Xenopus tropicalis: one gene and its partner. The protein of the gene in region 2 purifies or fractionates together with the protein of the main gene of each other region. This does not show direct contact. Links are inferred from orthologs where the notes say so. Each region holds a gene or a part of one and is shown on either strand. Other genes may lie near its edges.

Region 1 (10,723 bases), on a different chromosome or scaffold from region 2:
GCATGGGGGGCTGGTAAAAAATCAGGCATTTGCATTAAAAACCACACGCCCATATGATTCTATTGCTTTACTTGCCCTTGCAACAATAAATGATATAGTGCTTTTTAGGGCAACCAAATAGAGCCAAGCTAAACACACCTTTCTTGGGAGCAGCGGGCTTGATGAAGTACGGGAGAGTCTTCATGGCTCCTCGGAGTTCTTGTTTCAACGCCAGCATATATTCCACCTCCTCCCCTGTCTGCAGGGGTACTGGTTTGTATTCCAGGTTCTGAACAAAACAACAAAGAGAGTAGGATGATATACACAGTGTATAGCTCTTAATGGAGAAGAAAAGATGAAATCACAGAGGGGGTGCCAAATGTTAGGCACCCCCCAGTAATTATAATTACTTACCTGATACCCCACGCTGGTGCTCCTGTTAGCAGAAAACTGCAGCAGCCTGGGGTACTTCAGACCTAGCACCACTGCATTATCTACATCTTGTTTCTTCTTCACTTCAGTAAAGTGAAAAGCCAAGTTTGCTTTTTCACACACATGCACACATGCACCCTGGGTGATTGAGGAATGAAGAAGTGAAAGAAGAGGATTGTTCTGTGGTGCTTGCTCAGAGTACCCCAGGGCAGAGCAGTTTTATACTAAATGGACCACCGGCCCAGAGTATCAGGTAAGTCATTATAATCACTGAAGGGAGTGCCCCCCCCCCCCCAGTAATTTAACCATTCCTTGTCCTTTAAAAAGAAACTGCAGGGAATGTTTAACAAAACTGTTGTACATAGAGTTGCTGCATGAATTTCTTTTGAGTTCCGCAACCTAACATGTTTCCCAGCTGTAAACAACACACCCTACTGTCAGTCACTGACAGGTAAAGTCCAGTCTGATTCCAGCATGAGTATGCAATGCACTACTGACACACAGCATGGCTGGGTTTTCTTTCAAGTGAAAAAAGTTAGGAAAGTAAGGAAAAAATAATAAAACCTATTAGTACAAAAAAATGAATAAAGACCTAATACTATCCAGGTAAGTAGCATTTAAACCCATGACAAATGAAAAATAAGCCTATGTATATTCTATAAACATAACAGTATAACTAAAAGGCCATTATACCTTAGGGAAGGCCACATGTATCTCACTTGTAAAGGGCCCATAGTAGCAAACAGGTGGATGGCAGGCACAGGGGTGGGCAACTGGGCACTGTAATGAAAAATGCAGACCCTGATCCTGCCACCCAACAGGCAAAAAGTCAGAAAGCAATAGAAGGCAGTGCACAATGGGCAGACAGGGAAAACAGATACTAAAATGCTAAGATATGGATCAGGAGCCTGTAGTTCACTGCTTCTTGCTGAAATTCAGTCTGCTGACTCCAATAACACATATCAGCAGTCAAAAATATGGGGAGTTGTGGTTTAGTTACAATATGTTCCCCACTCATGCCTATTTTGGTACATTTCTATACATAGCATGTACACTTTAAAGGAAAGTAAGTAAAAAATCTATTCTACCCTGCTCCAATAATTGCCCTATCCTGCACACCATTTATTATTTTGAATGCTTTATTAGAAAATTTCTGCTAAAACCCGGCTTCCGGTCATTTGAAATAAGGCGATACGGCGATGTAGAAGCAGAATCCACTACGCGACGATCAATCCTAGCCTTCCTTCTGTATAGGAAGGAGTCAGGCAAGGATCGATCAAAGGAGTCAGGCTGTGATCGATCAATTCTGCTTCTGCATCGCCTTATTTCAAATGACCGGAAGCCAGGTTTTAGCAGGTATTTTCTAATAAAGCATTCAAAATAATAAACGGTGTGCAGGATAGGGCAATTATTGGAGCAGGGTAGAATAGATTTTTTTACTTAAAAATTTTTAGTGTTACTTTTCCTTTAATACCAAAGCTGTATAGAGCTTAACTTACCGGGAACAACGGGGGAGGTTGGAGAGTGGGTGGCGGCAGTGCTTCCCCTCTGGTAATTCCAACAGCTTCTACATTAAAGGTCAGTTGGCCCCGACCGCTACCTCTGCCTTTTCCAGCCATCTTGTGCTATGCCCAAGAAACAGTAGAATAACCTAGCCTGGGTATAAGAGATATCAACATCACCTGACATTTTGTATATGTTGTTGTATATTTTGTTTTTGTATATATCTCATGACTTCCTTCATGTAGTGTATAGCAATCCAACAATGTTCCACCATCCAGTAAAAAGGCTTCCCAGAAGAATATGGGTTGGTATAACAGATAACATATTCATATTAATACCCTTGGCTAAAGATCTCAAAGGGCTATTCCACCAAACCCACAGACTTGTATTTCTACCCACTTGGACCCACTTCTCACTATAAAACTGGAAGCTTTATCATCAGACCAAAAATGTGGTCGTCATAAACTCAGAAGTAAACTCATCCAGGAGCAAGGGGAGGTGGCAAGTAAGGAAAAGGAACCCAGCAAGGCAGCGACCCATTGCCACATCTGCTTTTCTTGGCTGCAACTGGCCAAATACCTGTGTTTCTTCAGGTAAGATGGACTATACTTTTGGTTTCATTAAAATAATGTGGAACTATGATTAAGTGTGTTTTTGGGCACAATATGTGTAAGGTTGTAGAGATAATGTTATAAACAGAGATTTTGACTACTATTTTGTGCCCTTTGTGGATAAATTGGATTACCCATCACCTATTTTTGCTTTGTTATGGTCTTTCTGCTTCCCTGAGCTAAAGGTCAGTAGCACCCAGACTGCTTTCTTGAATTGGTATGTCTTCTACATAGATTTGTGCTTTGGTGCCCTTCTGTTTTGTTTTGTTTTAATTAACAGAGACAGTGGACAGGTAGATGTCCAGATACTTGTGGTCATCCAACACTGGGTTTAACTTTTAGTGCTCATCATCTATTTTTACTTTGTTATGATAGCCTGTCGGCTTCCCTGAGCTAAGGACCTGGAGCAGCAGGACCACTTCTTTTTTTGTTTTGTTTAAATTCATTAAATAATGGACAGGTAGGTGTCCAGATACTTTTGGTAATATAAGGTATCACTTGGGCTAACGTTCCCTTTAAAGGGGTTGTTTGCCTTCAATGTCTAATTTTTAGTAAACCACCAACAATGCTTGCAGCATTTTACATAAAAAAAGTACAAAGGCCACTGAAAAAGCTACTTTTTATACCTTTAAATCAGTCCTCATTCTGTCTCTCTGATCAGTTTTCTGAAGGGATGGGAGTGGCCTATTTAGAACCTGACACACTGAGAACTTTCCTATATCAGTGATCCCCAACCAGTGGCTCGGGGCCAACATATTTCTCACCAAACCCCTTGGATGTTGCTCCCAGTGCCCCCAAACCAGGGAGTTATTTTTGAATTCCTGACTTGGGGGCAAGTTTTGGTTGAATAAAACAGAATTTACTACCAAATAAAGCCCCTGTAAGCTGATAGTGTGCATAGAGGCTGCCTAATAGCCAATCACAACCCTTATTTGGCTCCTCCATGAACTGTTATGGTGCTTGTGTTGCTCCTCAAGTCTTTTTACATTTGACTGTGGCTCATGAGTAAAAAAAGCTTGGGGATCCCTTTCCTATATGCGTAAATCATCACGTCCAGGCTTTGCCTTTACTTTTGGACCAATTAACTGGTTGCTTTTGAACTCTAACCAGTTGCATAAATTGAAAAGTTGGTTAATTTATCACTTTAAATGGCATAGGCAAATAGACTTAGCAAATCATAAATATAACATACTGTTATGATAGATTTGCAGCACTCTATCACAGGCACAGGAAGCAGTGTCAGACTGACAGGAGACACAGCCAATAGGAGTTAAGTACACTGCAAGCACTATCCATGACATCATATAATAAAGTAAAAAAGACTGTAGGGTTTATAGGGGTCACTGACCCCCTCCCAAAGCACAGGGTCTGTGCAGAAGTTAAGAATCAGCAGAAGGATGATTCTGAGGTGAATATAACTTCACCTGCATATTATTTGTTAACTATGTATATGGCAAAGCTTGTTCTTTTAATGTGAACTGTTAGAATTGTGAATGTTGTACAAAGGTGCTCCATGCAATGTTTAAGCACCATCTGTCTGTATCTAAAAGATTAGACAGCAATGCTTCCAGAATAGGAGAGCACCGTATCAGCATAATGAGCTAACAGTGTATATGCGTGCAATTACCTTTACAAAAAAGTGCCTCAGAGCTGCCACTTTCCTACATGGTCAGCACTGCATTACCAGGTGGGGAATCCTTGTCCTCTTCCCATGTCAGCTGTTTGGTGCTTTCGACATGTTTAATTTCGGGTCTCAAAGAGCCTAAAAACATAAAAGGACTTCGTGTAAGTTGCTAATTAGTGAAAATACTATTCCTACCCCCATCTCTGAATAAAAAAACTTGGTTACAGCAGTTGCCATTTGATGTTTACCCCATATACATGACAGCAGCACGCAGCATATAAACCAGGGGTAGGAAAATATGTGGGTACATGCCCTCATTTTTAAGTCTTGAATTTTAAGTAAGGCCTTTAAAGGAAAAGGAAAGGTAAAAAACTAATATCAGAAAGGTCTATGTAAATACAGCCATAAGCACTCACAGAAACGCTGCACTGAGTCCTCTATCAAAAGAAACACAGGATTTCTTGTCTGTTTTCCTCTGCTACAGACACGCAGCTCTCTCCTGCTCCCTCCTCCCTCAAGAATGCTAAGAACTCACTTCCCTCCCCCTTAAGGTCCCCATACACGGCCGATAGAAGCTGCCGATATCGGTCCCTTGGACCGACTCGGCAGCTTATCGGCCCGTGTAGGGGCAGAAACGAGCGGAATGGCCGACCGATATCTGGCCTGAAATTGGCCAGATAACGATCGGCCAGGTTAGAAAATCCCGTCGGATCGGGGACCGCATCGGCTCGTTGATGCAGTCCCCGAACCGACTGCCCCATTGCCGCGTGCAGAATTCGATCGTTTGGCCCCAGGGCCAAATGATCGAATTCACCTACATGCCTCCCTGATATCGCCACCCGTGTATGGCCAGCTTTAGGAATGAGGATCTGCGCCAATCAGCAGGAAGCTTCCTCATAGTCTTACTAACTGAGCATGTACACTGGTCTTGGTGCAGGAGCGAGGCATTACAAATCTCAGTTTTTTTTTTTCCTATGAGGCTTCTGATCATCTGAACGGGAGAAATATAGGGAGACTTAAGGGCACTATTGAGAGAACCGACGGTATGCCTGCAGCTTGAGATTAACTCTTTATTAGCCTTTCCTTCTCCTTTAATGCAGTTGTATGTTCTGCACAGTGTGTGCTGCATGTATGCTGTGTTGTGGCCACACATGGCTTAATAATGAACAGGCCATAAACATAGTAAACAATCTAAAGTCTAGTGGGAACTCCAGTCCTGACATGGGAGTCATGGAAGTAAGTTTACCCCCAGAATGAAAAATTAACCAATAGACAGATTATATTATATTAAGTGACCTATTAAAGAATCTCCCCAAACTGGAATATATATATCAGTACATATTTCCCTTTTACATCCTTTCCCTTGAGCCGCCATTTAGTGATGGGCTGTGTGCTCCCTCAGAGATCAGCTGACAGGAAATAAAGCAGCTCTACAGGTTGATCTGTGCCAAATCAGCAATTATAAATAAAATAGAGTTCCCTCTAAGCCATGGGCCCCAATGAGGGTTGCCACCTGACTGGTAAAAATGCCATTGCACGCAACAAAGTGCGATACACAAAGATTTTTTTTTTCTTATTGCAACCCTTCTCCTTCTGTGCCTACAGAATTTGCCAAATGTGCAGACAAAATATAATTTGAAAAGAGACTAGAGGGAACACTACTTCGTTGTAGCGCTACAGCAACAAAGCCGAAATCATCATTTTCTACACAAATGTTTATAACATTGATATTATAGGTATTTTTCGTCTTACTGCACGCTTCCCCACCCGCAGAATGCAACTTTTATAGCGCATAGTGATGACGTACACAATAGCCACGCCCACAAGGCTACCGCCGTGTGGTACCACCAGCCAATGACTGAGGAGATTGGGGGCGGGGTGAAGCACGGCGGAACAAGTCATTGGGAACTGGCAGTTGCCATAGTGACAAGGCGCTGCGAAAACCTTTATTGCGCAAGAAAATGCAAACATACCGGCCAGCAGTCGCGATTTTTATAACACGGGCCGCATTCCCGTATCAAGGTTTTAAAATTCTGCTGCGTCCTTGACATTTGTATTTTAGCTCTCGGAAGTCGCAAGTCTCATCTCGCGAGATTATGACGTCACTTTAACATTATATAAGGGGGTGAGGCATCGTATAGCGGCATTGCGAGAATGGCGAGCAGTGTGAATGTGTGTGATAGTTGTGCAGAAGTGCAAGCTGTTAGTAATGCGCAGTAGTGGGGTTGGGATAACAGGAGGCTACTCACAAGTGTTAGTTATGAGGCTATTTTGTCGAGGGAAAAAATATTCTTTCTGTTGGGATTACTAGTCTTTCCTACTTGCCCAGGGCTTTAGGTCATAGTGTTTGGCCAAGACTAAGCCTATGCTAACTGCTATTAATGGCTTGGTCACTTTTTTACTTGAGGGGTAAAGGCACTAGTCCAATAGTCAATCTTTTCCTACATTTGACATAAAAAGGGCTTTTTTTTTTTTTTTTTTTTAAAGGAATTTTATTCATACTTTTCTATTAATTTGGCTTAAAAGAAGAGTTTCAGTGCAAATGAGCCATATTTTTTTACAATTTGGAAGGAAGCCAGGGGCACTTTAAGTAGACAATGGGTGAAATTACCCAAAAGTAACAATTTACAGTTAATTTGTTCTAACTTCAAGGTGTTGATTCTGGAGTAGAACGTTCTAGGTGCTGACAGGGTTTTCCCACAAATGGTTTCAATAAAGCGGCTGTTCCTGTTACCCCAAAACAAGCTGCTCCTTTTTGTTGTTTTATGTTAAGCCTAAGAGCAATATATTTTACAATGTAGGAGTAGATTATGGTCTGATATACGAGAAGATAATAGGTGAAATACATATTAACAATAAGCTTTAGTTTTTGGGTTATTTTAACCCTTTAAGTGCCAGCCGAATTCGTCATTTCGGTTCCCCCCAGTGCCAGACGTTTTTTAAGCATTTTGTACTCATTCACTTTAACAATGTTTTTTGGTAGGAAAACCTCCATGAAACTAGGGAAATTATATATCGTTTTTTTCGTCACTAATTGGGCTTCGACATACATACCAAATTTTATAACTTTTCTGGAGATATGATGTGTATTTTGGGTGAAATATGTAAAAAAAAAAAAAAAATTATGAAAAATTTCTGTATATTTTGAGGTTTTTTTCCATAGAAAAGTTAATTTTGCACAATTTTTTTTGTCGTTTGTAAAAGCCCTGATGAAATCGGTGGTCAGAGCCCTGGATCCACCAATGTCACTGCAAAAGCAACCTTTTTGGGGCACTAAACACACAATAAAGAACAATGCAAAGATAAAACACCATAAAATCAGTAAAATCCAATAAAACCACCTAAACCAACAGAAGAACAATAATTGCAATGAAATTGGTGGTCAGAGCCCTGGATCCACCAACGTCACTGCAAATTCAGCACCCAATAGCAATAAAAAAAGTTACAATACAATACAATAATAAAAAAACAAATCAATTATGAAAATGCCAAAAAAACACTAAAATGCAACCAAATAAATCAGATAATTATAGAGCAAGATCAGAAATAAAGTTTTAGTAAAAAAAAAAAGACTGCCAAAGAAAGCAAAGAAAGAAAGAAGAGAAAAGAAAGATAGAAAAAAAAAAAAAAGTGTAAGTGTGTGTGTAAGTGTCTGTGTGTGCTTGGGAAAGTTGTAAATAAGTGTGTATGTGTGCAAAAGTGTAATAATGACAAAGATAGAAGAAAAAATTGAAAAAAAAAAAAAATTTTAGACAGTTGAGATAGAAATAAGCAAAATAAACAGTGGTAGAGAGTTGTAGTTCAGCTTACCCAAGGCAGGCAGGCGATCAGGGGCGACCAATCTGGCAGGAAGGCAGCAGGGGAGCTCCATCAGGTCCGAAGTGCGCAGCAGGAATGAGGAGCCGACAGTAGGCGGCGCTATTTAAAGGGACAGCAGTGGACACGTCATCATCGCGTGTCCACTGCTGTCATTGGCTGGCGACGCGATCGGGGGACCGGATCGGTGAGTATGACTGTCTTTGCTCGTTGCCTAGGGGGTTGTGAAGGGTTTACAAGCGCTGCGCTGCTTTAAAAGCCAGCGCAGCGCTTGTAAACCTGATAGTGCTGTAGGACGTAGATTCTACGTCCTGTGGCACTTTGGTCCTTTGCTACCCAGGACGTAGAATCTACGTCCTATGGCACTAAAAGGGCTAATGGTGTGGGAGCCTCCCAGGGGCAGGTTTTTCACAGTTCATGGACAAAAAGGGCTATTTTAGGTGAAGACGATTAGTAAAAATGACCCAAAAATAGGTTTTTTAGGCTCTTTTTTTAACTGCGGCACTATGATGTTCTCTGTGAGGGAGGCCTCTATCACCCCCTCTAATCTTACATGTTGGAAACTGACACAGATCAGCGACACTCCACACTTTATTTTATGGCAGGGATCCCCAACCTTTCTTTGAGGTTTGAGCCACAGTCAAATGTTAAAAGACTTGGAGAGCAACACAAACATAAAAGTTAATGGAGGAGCCAAATAAGGGCTGTGATTGGCTATTAGGCAGCCTCTATGCACCCTATCAGCTTACAGGGGCTTTATTTGGTAGTAAATCTTGTTTTTATTCAACCAAAACTTGCCCCCAAGTCAGGAATTCAAAAATAACTACCTGGTTTGGGGGCACTGAGAGCAACATCCAAGGGGTTGGGGAGCAACATGTTACCCCTGAGCCACTGGTTGGGGATCACTGTTTTAGGGGTTCAAACAGGGTAGAATGGCTAGGGGGGGACAAAAAAAAGCAAGAACCAGTTGCAATCAATAAGGTGTACAGCCCACTTCTGTCAAATAGTCCAGTGGTACAGCGCCCCCAGTGGTGTCCCTAAATTAACTGTACAGAGCCCTGCTTGAGCAGGTCACAGATCAGCAGTGCAGAGTTCATATTAAAGACTTGGCACAGGTTAGAAGCACACTGTTCTCTTGGTACAATCTGCGGGGCAGCGTTCACCTTAAAGGAATACTTGAAAATTTTTTTTTTCATAAAATGAAATTTTATTTTGAAATTTCACATGGGGCTAGCCATATTCTTCTTTTCCCAGGTGCCTTCAGCCATGTGACCTGTGCTCTGATAAACTTCAGTCACACTTTACTGCTGCGCTGCAAGTTGGAGTGATATCCCCCCCCTCCCAGCAGCCGATCAGCAGAATAATGGGAAGGGAGCAAGATAGCAGCCCCCTAGTAGGTATCAGAATAGCACTCAATAGTAAGAAATCCAAGTCCGGCTTGGGACTCCTCCAGTTACATGGGAGTAGGAGAAACAATAGGTTAGCTGAAAGCAGTTCTAATGTGTAGCGCTGGCTGAAAGCTCAGACTCAGGCACAATGCACTGAGATGGCGCCTACACACCAATATTAAAGCTAAAAATACATTTGTTGGTTCAAGAAATGGCAGAGGGAATTATTTGCTATGTAAACAGTGTAATTTAGAAGTAAAAATGTTGACAGAATCTCTTTAAACCAACCCACAAATTAACAGTACCTGAGAATATCCTTGCAGACTTCCAGCAGTACACAGCCCTCCTTGGGGTAGGGGATCCAATCAGCAGTTGGAGAGAGTCTCCCTACAGGTCCAAGGAGGAGCCAAAGAGGGTTGTCCTGCCCTCAGCCTGGGTAAACCCCAGAGGCTGTGAAGAACCACAACTACTCCCACTTTCCAGACAATTAAAACTTTCATCCGGGAAAGGGAGGGATTTTGCCAGACCCCCTGGGGTAAACTGGTTTGTCCACTTTGTGTCTCTAGTGCAGTGTTTTTCAACCTTTTTTGGACAAAGGCACACTTGTTTCATGAAAAAAATCACGAGGCACACCACCATTAGAAAATGTTAAAAAATTTAACTCTGTGCCCAGCAGCAGTGCCCCCCTAGTACATTGGTGCCAAGAGCAGTGCCCCCCTAGTACATTGGTGCCCAGCAGCTGTGCCCCCCTAGTACATTGGTGCCCAGCAGCAGTGCCCCCCTAGTACATTGGTGCCAAGAGCAGTGCCCCCTAGTACATTGGTGCCCAGCAGCAGTGCCCCCCTAGTACATTGGTGCCAAGAGCAGTGCCCCCCTAGTACATTGGTGCCCTGCCTACGGCACACCAGGCAACATCTCGCGGCACACTACAGTGGTTGAAAAACGCTGCTCTAGTGGGCTTGGGGACTGGATAAAGTTCTGAGCCCTTTATTGTTGACTTTTTGTGCTGAAGGAGGAACTACGGGATTTGAATAAAACCACCATTCCGTTGCCAAGAAACATACCTTTCTTCATTTCAGCATTGCCACAGCCCCCCCATTGTGTTGTCTTATAATTCTATAAATGTTGATGACCTTATTACTGCCGGTGGTCCACGCCACAAAGAGGCCCAAAGGGCTCTTCCATCGGACTGCAGTTCAGTTGGTTAGCCTCCCTGCTCAAGTCCAAATTCCAGGCTTTTGTTCAGGAGGAATGGAACTGCCACAAGCAAAAACTTTAGTTAAGTAGGACATTTTCCAGACTCCCCAAGAAGGCAGGCCAACATGGAGTAATATATCCTTTATACCCAGAATGAATACTGAACCAACAGA
Region 2 (9,935 bases):
CGTAAAATGCTGTTTAGAAGAGCACTCTCAGCAAGTTTACACCCACTTTAATTTGTCTCCAGTTTTCTAAAGAGATACAGGGCTCTGAGATAGACAGGATGCTGATTTAAGTAAAATGGAGCTCTGGCTCCTAGGTACACACCCCTAAGGTATGACATGTAAGTTCACATTACCAAATGTCCTTCTTACCTGACCCAAGAATGCAACTGCATTTAAATGAGGTAACTATTTTTATTTCTTTAAAATGTTATACCTCATAGGTGTCATCCCAAATATGGAATAAAAATAACAGTTCTCTACTGCTGCTTTCAATTATGAAAACATCTGAAAATAAATATAACAGCAGTCAAACACTGCATTTCATAGAACAGAGCAGTTCCTTCACTATCAGCCATGTATCCTTGTTGTGACTGACCACTCTTCTGGTTAGATTTTGGTCCAACAGGCCAGCCTCCTTTCACTAAAAATCCAGCCAGTCTGTCATATAAATGCAGTTTGATGGGGAAATTTCACCTCCTTCATGACAGTCGTCAAATACCTAGCAAGAACATGTTGCAAAACACTTTATTTAGGTTTCTAAACAGAAAGAAGATCTGATAACAACTGGTAATCTTTAGTGCAACAGTGACCCATTCCTGGAAGCTATTCTGTCTTCTCCTTGCTATTTAGCAAGTCTACAAAAACTTTCAAATATTTATAGAAAACTATACTGAAATTAGGAACAATAGTTCCTAGCTTACTATGATAACTACTGTAACAGTATATGAATGCTATTGTAAGTAGCTGATTAAATGGATAGGTATTTCCATGGTTAGTTTAACATTTATAGCAATGGAACATGCTGAATATACTTGGAAAACAGCAGGCCTCCCATATACTGTGCTGGGAAACTAGGCAGGATAAAGCCACACTGCAGGTCAGATTTCCTAGTAACACTATCAAAGACTAAGCAAATTTTTAAGAAACAATGATAACTTGGGGTTTCTTACCGGACACAGGCCGCACGGGGTTCTCACTAAACCTGCAGGTTGTGTGATAGGGTTCACTCCCCTATACAGTTTCATTTGTCCATCAACACTACCCACAGTCCCCTCCTTAGCAGCGATTATGGTCATCTCTACTTTCCCATCATATATTAAAGTATTCAGGATGGTTTCAATATCTTCCATAGACAATTCCACCTTTAAAAAACAAATAGGTTTTTAGGGAGTTATTTATTAAATACATGAATGTGTAGGGATAGAACCTTCCCTACCCTAGAATCATATAAGTAACTCAAATGTCCAGCTCTCTCCTGTTAATTACTGTTAAATAACAGTAAGGATGCAGGATTACTTGCACCTCACCACAGTGAATTTGAACAAGTGGGACATTTTTTTTTAATTAAAGAGATGCAAATGTATTATTTGCGTTACAGTTGAATATGCAAATTAGGGTTTGAATCTGGTTTATATTTCAATATTTATATGGAGGATTCGGTATTCAGCTTAACCCCTAAAAAGTACACCCCAAAGAATAGATTTCTACTTTATATATGTGCCCTACTGTGGTTGTTAGTTATTAGGGACCATAGATATTCATGCACCCTAAGATCTGTTTCTGTTTACATTTTGCAAGGATTCTGAGCGGTAATTCTACTAAGGGATCATGGCAAACTGGAAAATGGCATACTATCTACTGTATAGTGCAGAGTGCACATTCTGGGGGATAACCTCTCCCAAGATGCTGTACATCCTGCACCATGTGTCTTAGATGATAGGCTGTGTGTCGATATATGCAGATATATGTAAGAAATACAGACAGCAGTGGCTGATAGACAAGCACAGACGAGCTGCTGATGTTTTTGTTGTACAGTAACACCAAAATATGAAAGCGTTTTAAAGTAATTGAAATATAACGTACTGTGGCCCTGCACTGGTAAAACTGGGGTGATTGCTTCAGGAACACTACTATAGTTTATATAAATAAGCTGCTGTGTAGCCATGGGGGCAGCCATTCAAGCTGGAAAAAAGGAGAAAAGGCACAGGTTACATAGCAGATAACAGATAAGACACCATTGTATTCTACAGGGTTTATCTGTTAGCTGCTATATAACCTGTGCCTTTTCTTCTTTTAAATGGCTGCCCCCATGGCTACACACCAGGATTCATATAAACTCTAGTAATGTTTCTGAAGCAAACACAAAACTTTTACCAGTGCAGGGCAGCAGTACATTATAGTTTAATTTCTTTGAAATCTATACATTTTTTGGTGTTACTGTTCCTTTAATAGTGGTCAGTGAATTGTATAAAAAGGAGAGCTCAGTGGGCCTCCCACACCAAACACAGTTTTCTTTTACTTTAAAATGGCATTTGGGATACAACATATTTTACACCATTGAACATTTCAGTGCTCATGTTACACACTACTAATGCATGTGTCATATATAAAGAGAAGGTCCAGCTCACCTTGCTAATCCCCAGTTCACAGATGTATTTCCAGACTTCATGGGATGAGGCAAATGAGCTGTTCCTCTGTATCATGGGGTTTTGTTTACTGTCCCTTGCTGCTTCAGCCTGTTTAGGTTAAAGCACACCAAACAAGTACCATTACAGTATGTATGTGTTGAGTACATATCAGAAACAAGGTATCATATGCATATATTATTTATTCAGGATTCATGGAGAGGTATTTCCCATCCCTGGAAACATACAGTTAAATTTAATACAGTTAAATTCAGTATTTTTTTTAACCTTTTTCTCAAGAGACAAAGATTAGAAAGTGGTTTTGCAACCTAAAAATTGGTTTTGAATTGCAATTTGTTTTAATAAAATTTTCTATTAAAAATAATTTATAAAAATTATAATATGGGATTCAACCAGTATGGGGCCCATTTTAACTTAATAACATAACAAGTATTTTGACACTCTTCAGTTAAATTGTATATTAGGACAAGGCTACTAATGGCATTTAAACACAGCAGCAGTGATTATAATGCTCAAAACTCTATACTTCTATGCCATGCTTTATTCATGTAGGTGCTGTTACAGAAGTGATTTTATTGTAACAGGATAATAGTTTCTCAGGTCAATAACATTTGTGGTGGTTTGCCTTTTTTTTATTAAAGGTAAATTTTTATTGATTTTACAACATCACAAAACAATAAAATACAAAACAGTGTTTAATATACTGACATTGGAATGGTGTCAAGTTGAGTTTAGGTCAGTACAAGCAAGAATACTATTGCTAGGCATTGCAGTTGTCACTATGTAGGTGGCAGTGTTTAGTTCTGTCGGGTCAGTCACACTTAATATAAGGGGGTGAGCTATGTGTCCAGGTTATCTTGGTTGCACCAGTTTCCCCAGATCTTATCAAACTTAATATATGTACCCCTTGTTTAGTAACTTAATTTAATGAGGGGAAGAGCATCTCCTATCCCAAAACGGTGGTTTGCCTTTAAGTTAATATGAATGTCGTATTCCTAGAAACTTTGCAATTAGTCTTTTTTTATTTAATTATAGTTTTTGAATTATTTGCCTTCCTCTTCTGCATCTTTCAAATGGTGGGTCACTGACCCTGGCAGCCAAAAACCTATTGCTCTGTGAGCTTGCAATTTTATTATTATTGTTACTTTTATTCGTTATCTTTCTATTCAGTCCCTCGCCTATTCATATTCCAGTCTCTCATTCAAATCACTGCCTGGTTGCCAAGGTAAACAAAACCCTAGCAACCAGATAGCTGCTGAAATTCCAAACTGGAGAACTGCTGATCACTTACGCGATCCAGAACAATAAATCTTGCAAGTCTATTTGCATTTATGCACACGAATAGCAGCTGTCCTATTGCTTTTCCTGACCAAGGCATTTTACATAGGCTGCATTAATAATCATTGTCATTTGGGCCCTCACACTTCACTTTTTGGGAAAATAAAAGAGCAAAATAAATACACTTTTGAATACTATCACAAATCTTGATGGCTGAACTGTTTACCTTGGTTTGTAGAAATTTAAAACATTGTTGATTTAACACCTCCACAAACTCAGATTCGAAATCCTGGTCACTGTACCAAGCTCCTCCTGTCACAGAGCGATCTGGCTGCAGATTGTACAACATGTAAACTTTCTTCTTTGAAGCCTATGATGGAGAAGCACACGTGCTAGGTTACTTAAGGGGACCATGATGAACGACAAGATGTTGCTAAAGAGGTGCAATCATTTTACAAATCACTATTTGCCTTGATAGGGTAGAAATATGTGTACATTGTATTTTAAAGAAGCAGCAAAATAAGAGACTGGTTTTAGATTGTAAGCTCTCCTGAAAAGGGACAACTTTACCTCCTGTTTCGACCAGTTTTGTATAGTGCTTTATGAATAGGTATTAATACAATCATAATAGTTGCAGCTTTAGAATAAAAACAAGATAAATGCAAACAAAGTTCATTGGTTTTGCTCTAAAATGGTAAATGTACAGCATGACTAGTAGTACGTAGAATAACAATTGTAGTCACTGAGCACAATGCAGTATTGCTTGCTGTTATTAAAAGGACATGCTGGAATTACACAAATACAGTGTAGTTTCTGCTCTGAGAACGTTGGCCAAACTCTCTCTCTTGCCCAGTGTCATCCTAGGTTTGTGCTACAATAGGAAAGCAGTGGGGAAATTTAGACAAGTCAGAGTGGATATTTGTTTACATGGTCTGCTTTGACTAAGCTTAGTACATATACTTGTCCGCACAGGAAGGCAAGGCACTGTCTTCCCAAGCTAACATGCACAAACACTGACTTAAGGCAAAGCAGCTTGCGCGATCTGAAATCTCCACTATTACTTTTGATCACTCATGCTGCTTTGCCAAACATTATCAAGGAAAGGCAGAGGGTGTATAGAGATCCCAATCACTGTAACACCAATTACTTAACAGTTTGGCAGCATATCAGAGTTCCAAAAAAAAAAAATCTATAACAATAATAGTAGAGTAGCAGGATGTAATGGTATTGGAATTTCAGAAACTCAAGATTATTTTGCAGGGCCTTGCTGTTGTCTCTGGGTATGTAACACCACTTCTACTTATAAATAAAAGGAGTTGTTAGAGAAAGAGGTCCTGCCATAAATTAAACAGTAGTCTCAGTGAAGGACCAGTATAGCAGCTGTATAATAGTGCAACCTGTGACACTGTGCAACATAAAACATGAACAAAACATGTTCATTATTTTTATAAATAGTATCTTATTTACAAAATAACACCCACACAAAAGGTCATAACAGTAACCCTTTAAAGTAACACTAAATAATGTAAGTATATCAAATTAATTAAATATAATGTACTGCTGCCTGACACTTATTAAAGGTTTTGCTTCAGAAACACTACTATAGTTTATATAAACAAAGCTGCTGTGTAGTCATAGCAGGTAGCTACTGAAATGGGGCTAAATATCTAATAACACCATTGTATTCTACAGAGCTTATATGGTATCTGCTATGTCTGCCTTTTATCCTTTTTTCCAACTTGAATGGCTGCCCCTATGGCTACACAACAGCTTATTTAATTAAACTATAGTAGTCTTTCTGAAGAACACATACAACATCTTCCAGTGATGATGAACAGTACATTATATTAATTTCTTTTTTTTGTGTTACTGTTCCTTTAATCCTGCAACAGTTCTGATTGTTATATCCCCCGTCCCATTTACATATGAAATATATAAATGTTAAGAAAACCACACAAACTTACAGCTACAGATTTCACAGCTTTAATAAGTTTCTTGCTCTCTAGGTTTTTCAAAATTTTGTTGATTTCAGTCAGTGGCAAATTGCTTTTGTACCTTATATCTCGGCTCCATATACCTGAATAAAACAAAGAGTTTTTTCTGTGATTTCTTTATATAGATGCACTCTCTTATATGCAGCACTTTAAACTATTTTGATAGAATAACAGCAAAAAATCTCTGATGTAGAATTTGAAATAAAGTCCATTTAAGCTTCAAGAAGAAATGTGGCCAATTTACATTTTCTTTTTGTAAGCACCAAGTAACATCCTTGCCATAATATTTCTACATACAGCTATTGTCATTAATCATGGATCTATCTCCTAACAACAGATAAAGAAATGTGAATAAGCACAACCTATTACATTTATAGAGCATACCTTTGTTATCAGCATCCTCAATTATCTGATACACTAACTTCTCCTGATTGTCTGAACCCTTCATTTTACTGCAAAACAGAGAAAAAGAAAATGCATATTTGTGTACCAGTCTTTAATTCCCCACATATAATTCAATGTATATATAATATATCAATATATATATTTATATTTATTATTATTAAATAATCTCACCCAGCAGTTTGTGGATCCTTCAACCTGTACAGCAGTCCTGCACCACTTCGTAACAGATCCAGCTGACCCTGAAAATGAAAGAAGGGAATAAAGTCAGTGGATCCACAGAGCAATTTACATGCATCAGCAATAGCTCTTTTTCTCTAGGTTGCTGAAGATGTAGAGGATGCTGGGGGGGGGGAGCTAGGGGATGCTGGGGGGGGAGCTAGAGAATGCTGGGGGGAGCTAGAGAATGCTGGGGGAGCTAGAGAATGCTGGGGGGAGCTAGAGAATGCTGGGGGGAGCTAGAGAATGCTGGGGGGAGCTAGAGAATGCTGGGGGGGAGCTGGAGCATGCTGGGGGGGAGCTGGAGCATGCTGGGGGGGAGCTGGAGGATGCTGGTGGGGGGAGCTGGAGGATGCTGGTGGGGGGAGCTGGAGGATGCTGGTGGGGGGAGCTGGAGGATGCTGGTGGGGGGAGCTGGAGGATGCTGGTGGGGGAGCTGGAGGATGCTGGTGGGGGGAGCTGGAGAATGCTGGTGGGGGGAGCTGGAGAATGCTGGTGGGGGGAGCTGGAGAATGCTGGGGGGGGAGCTGGAGAATGCTGGGGGGGGAGCTGGAGAATGCTGGGGTGGGCAGCTGCAGGATGCTGGGGAGTGTATGGGGATGCTGGGGAGTGTATTCCATACTTGATTATCAATAGGTATCAAAAGATATTTGTGCTGTTTCCATACAGGCAACGAGCAATCTTGTTGGTAAAAATTGTTGATAAAAAGAATATCCTAGAACTGCTCTCTGGTATTACATGTTCTGGCCTAAAGTCATTCTACTGAAATGGATTGTAAAAATGTTCAAACTTTTTAATGTTTAACCCTATATGGCATTTGTCACAGTAAAGAAGCCTTTGATTTATCTATTCTGCAGTGTATAACTATTGGGAACATACAGAGGGGCAACATCAAATATTTATGACATGCAAGGGGCTAAATTCAAAATGATAATGCAAGTAATATTAGGCAATAATAAAGTTAAAACGTTGTCACTACTGCCATTATTGTTTTTGTAGTTTTGGTGATTTACTTCTGTATTTCCTAGCTTGCAAAATGAACTGCCCCTCAGTATCTCAATCTAAACAAGGGGCCATATAGCCATAGTTTTAACATACATTATGTAAGACAAAAAGAAAACAAATATAAAAGAACTTACAGTTGCCAGCAGTCGGTTGATGCACATGGCCCTTTGTTTGGCTTCAATGTGAGGCATCTCATTTTGAATAACTTGGTCAGTGATACCATGAGGAAACTGCTGGCACAGCTCAATAACCCTAAATATATAGAAAAAAATACCATTAAAGAACTAGAAAAAGCTTAAGTGTAACTGTGTTAAGTGTTTATGAGACTGTTGACTTTCTCTAACATTTTATTTGTAATAATTTTGGCCCCTGATGTTAGTGGAAGGAATGCACAACACATGCAGAATATTTAGATCATGTCCAGTATGAAAGAACTGCTACCCCTTATGTGAGCCAACAACTGCAAGAAACAAACGGCTGGAACGGAGTATTATGTGACTAAAAATCACACTAACAACAAAGAGGATGTTTAAAGAACCGAAGCCATTGCTGCTTTTTTTTTTTTTGGACAGCTGTAATAACAGCCACCCTCCATTGGTAGACAGATGTTGGATGTTTTTTGGTACTACATGCTGTACTACATACACCAGAGGCAGTCTACAGGTCCGGACTAAGATTCAAAAGAGGAATTTCATGTACAAAGGCCCAAACAGCCCCCCACAGGTGCAATACATAGTGACGTTCTATGGCATCTTGCAGCAGCCACTCTGGCATTGGCCAGAATCCATAGACTGTCAGACCGGGCCTGGCATAAACACACTTGTTTTTTTTTTAATTCGGTGTAACTTTATCATAACCACATATTTTTATTGTCCCTTTTTACTATAAGACAGTCCTTAAAAGTTTCCTTTAAGGGGCAGTATATTTCTTTTTACCATGAGCTAAACAATAAATATAGTTTTTCCAAGTAATGTATGGCTTTTAGTTATTTCTTGCACTAAACAAAGACACTGACAGCTTAAATTTTCTAGTTTCCTGGTTCTGCCAAATCATCATTTGTGGTAAAACAAATCAACAGTATACAGATAAGCACTGGCTGCTCCTAATCACAAAGTCTAACAAAGGCTACATCTTAGGAGAGAGTGGATTTGCTTTATACACAGCTCATTATTCTCATTTAAACAATAGTGGGGAAAAACAAAACACTTTTATTTTAGTGCTTTATAACTACAAAACATTTGATAAATGTTAAAAATATGGATTTTTAAACTAAAATAAAAAAAGATTACATTCTCAACACAAGACTTATTTAGTATGCTGATGTTTAGCAAAAGTGTCTATAGGCATACACTGGCCTCTACAGTTTTAGGTTTCCTGCAGATAAAAACCCCACATCTTTTAGCAAATGTGTTCATGTCTCATCAGTCAGCCACAGTGTAGGTGTAGTCATGTCCTTTAGATAAGGTATAGCTGAGATTGCCATGAAGCTTTTCAAAATACTAGTAGGGTTCTAATGCCTGGTCTGGGACCACAGCTCTGAAGAAAGGCTGGATATAACCTGGGACAGACATTGAGCAAGTCAATGCGTGACAGCAAGTGACACAACTAATAAATAACTTTAGTTTTCTGCTATAACTGTAAGCATATGCTGCCAATATGATTATATTGATCAATGTGTCTTTCTAATGCAAGGGACTTTCATTTAAACCTTATGTAATTGAAAAAAGTAAACCAACATAGCCAAAACGCCAAAGACATACTCCGCTTTGCACCGCTTACCTGTTCTCTATCTCCGCTGCCTCCCCACCTTCTTGCTTCACCTTCGCTTCTGACATGTTTATTTGAGTCCCTATCCTTTGCCCACGTGTCCCCCTTAACGACTGTCGCCCCAACACCCCCAGTTCAGGTAGCACTAGCGCTGCAGCTCGATCAGCAGAAAGTATCGGCAGCCATTTTGCTTTCGGGCAAAAGGGAGCGTTTGGAACGGAACAACTTCCGAGCGGACAATATATTTTCAAATCAAAGGTACTACGTCTTTTAACTAAAGGACTTCGCGATTTACGTTGTCGCTAACCAAACATTTTCACGCTTTACAATTTCCAAATACAGCAAGTCGTCTGTGTAGCATTTGCTGCGGAAATACGTCATGCATAGGAGCATGCGCTTTGAGAGTGTGAAGAAATATGGGCGATGGTTTATTAGCGTCATCTTCGCATCTTTAGTTGCTAGGCAGCCAGACTTGACCAATGAAAAGGGCAGACACCGTCAGGAAGCAGGTTTTTACTACACCGCGTCTCTAGTAACGGGAGGTGGGACAAAGGCTGCGCCGGGGTCCACAGTGGGATATTTTATCAAGGTAAGTCAGGGTGCTATCAATTTAGACTAATGAAGAGTCTGTAGGTTACTGCTCGCCATAGATAGTGCTCTGCAGCTTGCGAACTTATGCTTTTCGAACTCAATGCTATGTGATTCGATGAAGCCCATTAACTTCTAGTTACATGTTTTTCAGTGGCTGAAATATTTTTATATTTTATACGTTTTTATAAAGCGGGACTGGTGTAGCATGTACAGT

Evidence for each region.
Region 1: the proteins of polr3f (region 2) and polr3gl purify together in Homo sapiens (co-immunoprecipitation; 5 studies listed by BioGRID and IntAct, counting the BioPlex papers as one, with this or other methods). This does not show direct contact. The link is inferred for Xenopus tropicalis from reciprocal best matches to the Homo sapiens genes POLR3F and POLR3GL.

Annotation. Positions count from the first base shown.
Region 1 is NC_030684.2:128,424,924-128,435,646, reverse strand, and holds the start of polr3gl (DNA-directed RNA polymerase III subunit RPC7-like), read right to left. Parts: upstream 5,931-10,723; 5' UTR 5,902-5,930; intron 4,288-5,901; 5' UTR 4,153-4,287; intron 2,068-4,152; 5' UTR 2,031-2,067; coding exon 1,911-2,030; intron 269-1,910; coding exon 139-268; intron 1-138. UniProt on the Homo sapiens protein: DNA-dependent RNA polymerase catalyzes the transcription of DNA into RNA using the four ribonucleoside triphosphates as substrates. Specific peripheric component of RNA polymerase III which synthesizes small RNAs, such as 5S rRNA and tRNAs.
Region 2 is NC_030681.2:38,388,442-38,398,376, reverse strand, and holds polr3f (DNA-directed RNA polymerase III subunit RPC6), read right to left. Parts: upstream 9,361-9,935; 5' UTR 9,199-9,360; coding exon 9,143-9,198; intron 7,616-9,142; coding exon 7,498-7,615; intron 6,382-7,497; coding exon 6,314-6,381; intron 6,190-6,313; coding exon 6,122-6,189; intron 5,821-6,121; coding exon 5,708-5,820; intron 4,114-5,707; coding exon 3,970-4,113; intron 2,556-3,969; coding exon 2,448-2,555; intron 1,182-2,447; coding exon 990-1,181; intron 539-989; coding exon 461-538; 3' UTR 218-460; downstream 1-217. UniProt on the Homo sapiens protein: DNA-dependent RNA polymerase catalyzes the transcription of DNA into RNA using the four ribonucleoside triphosphates as substrates.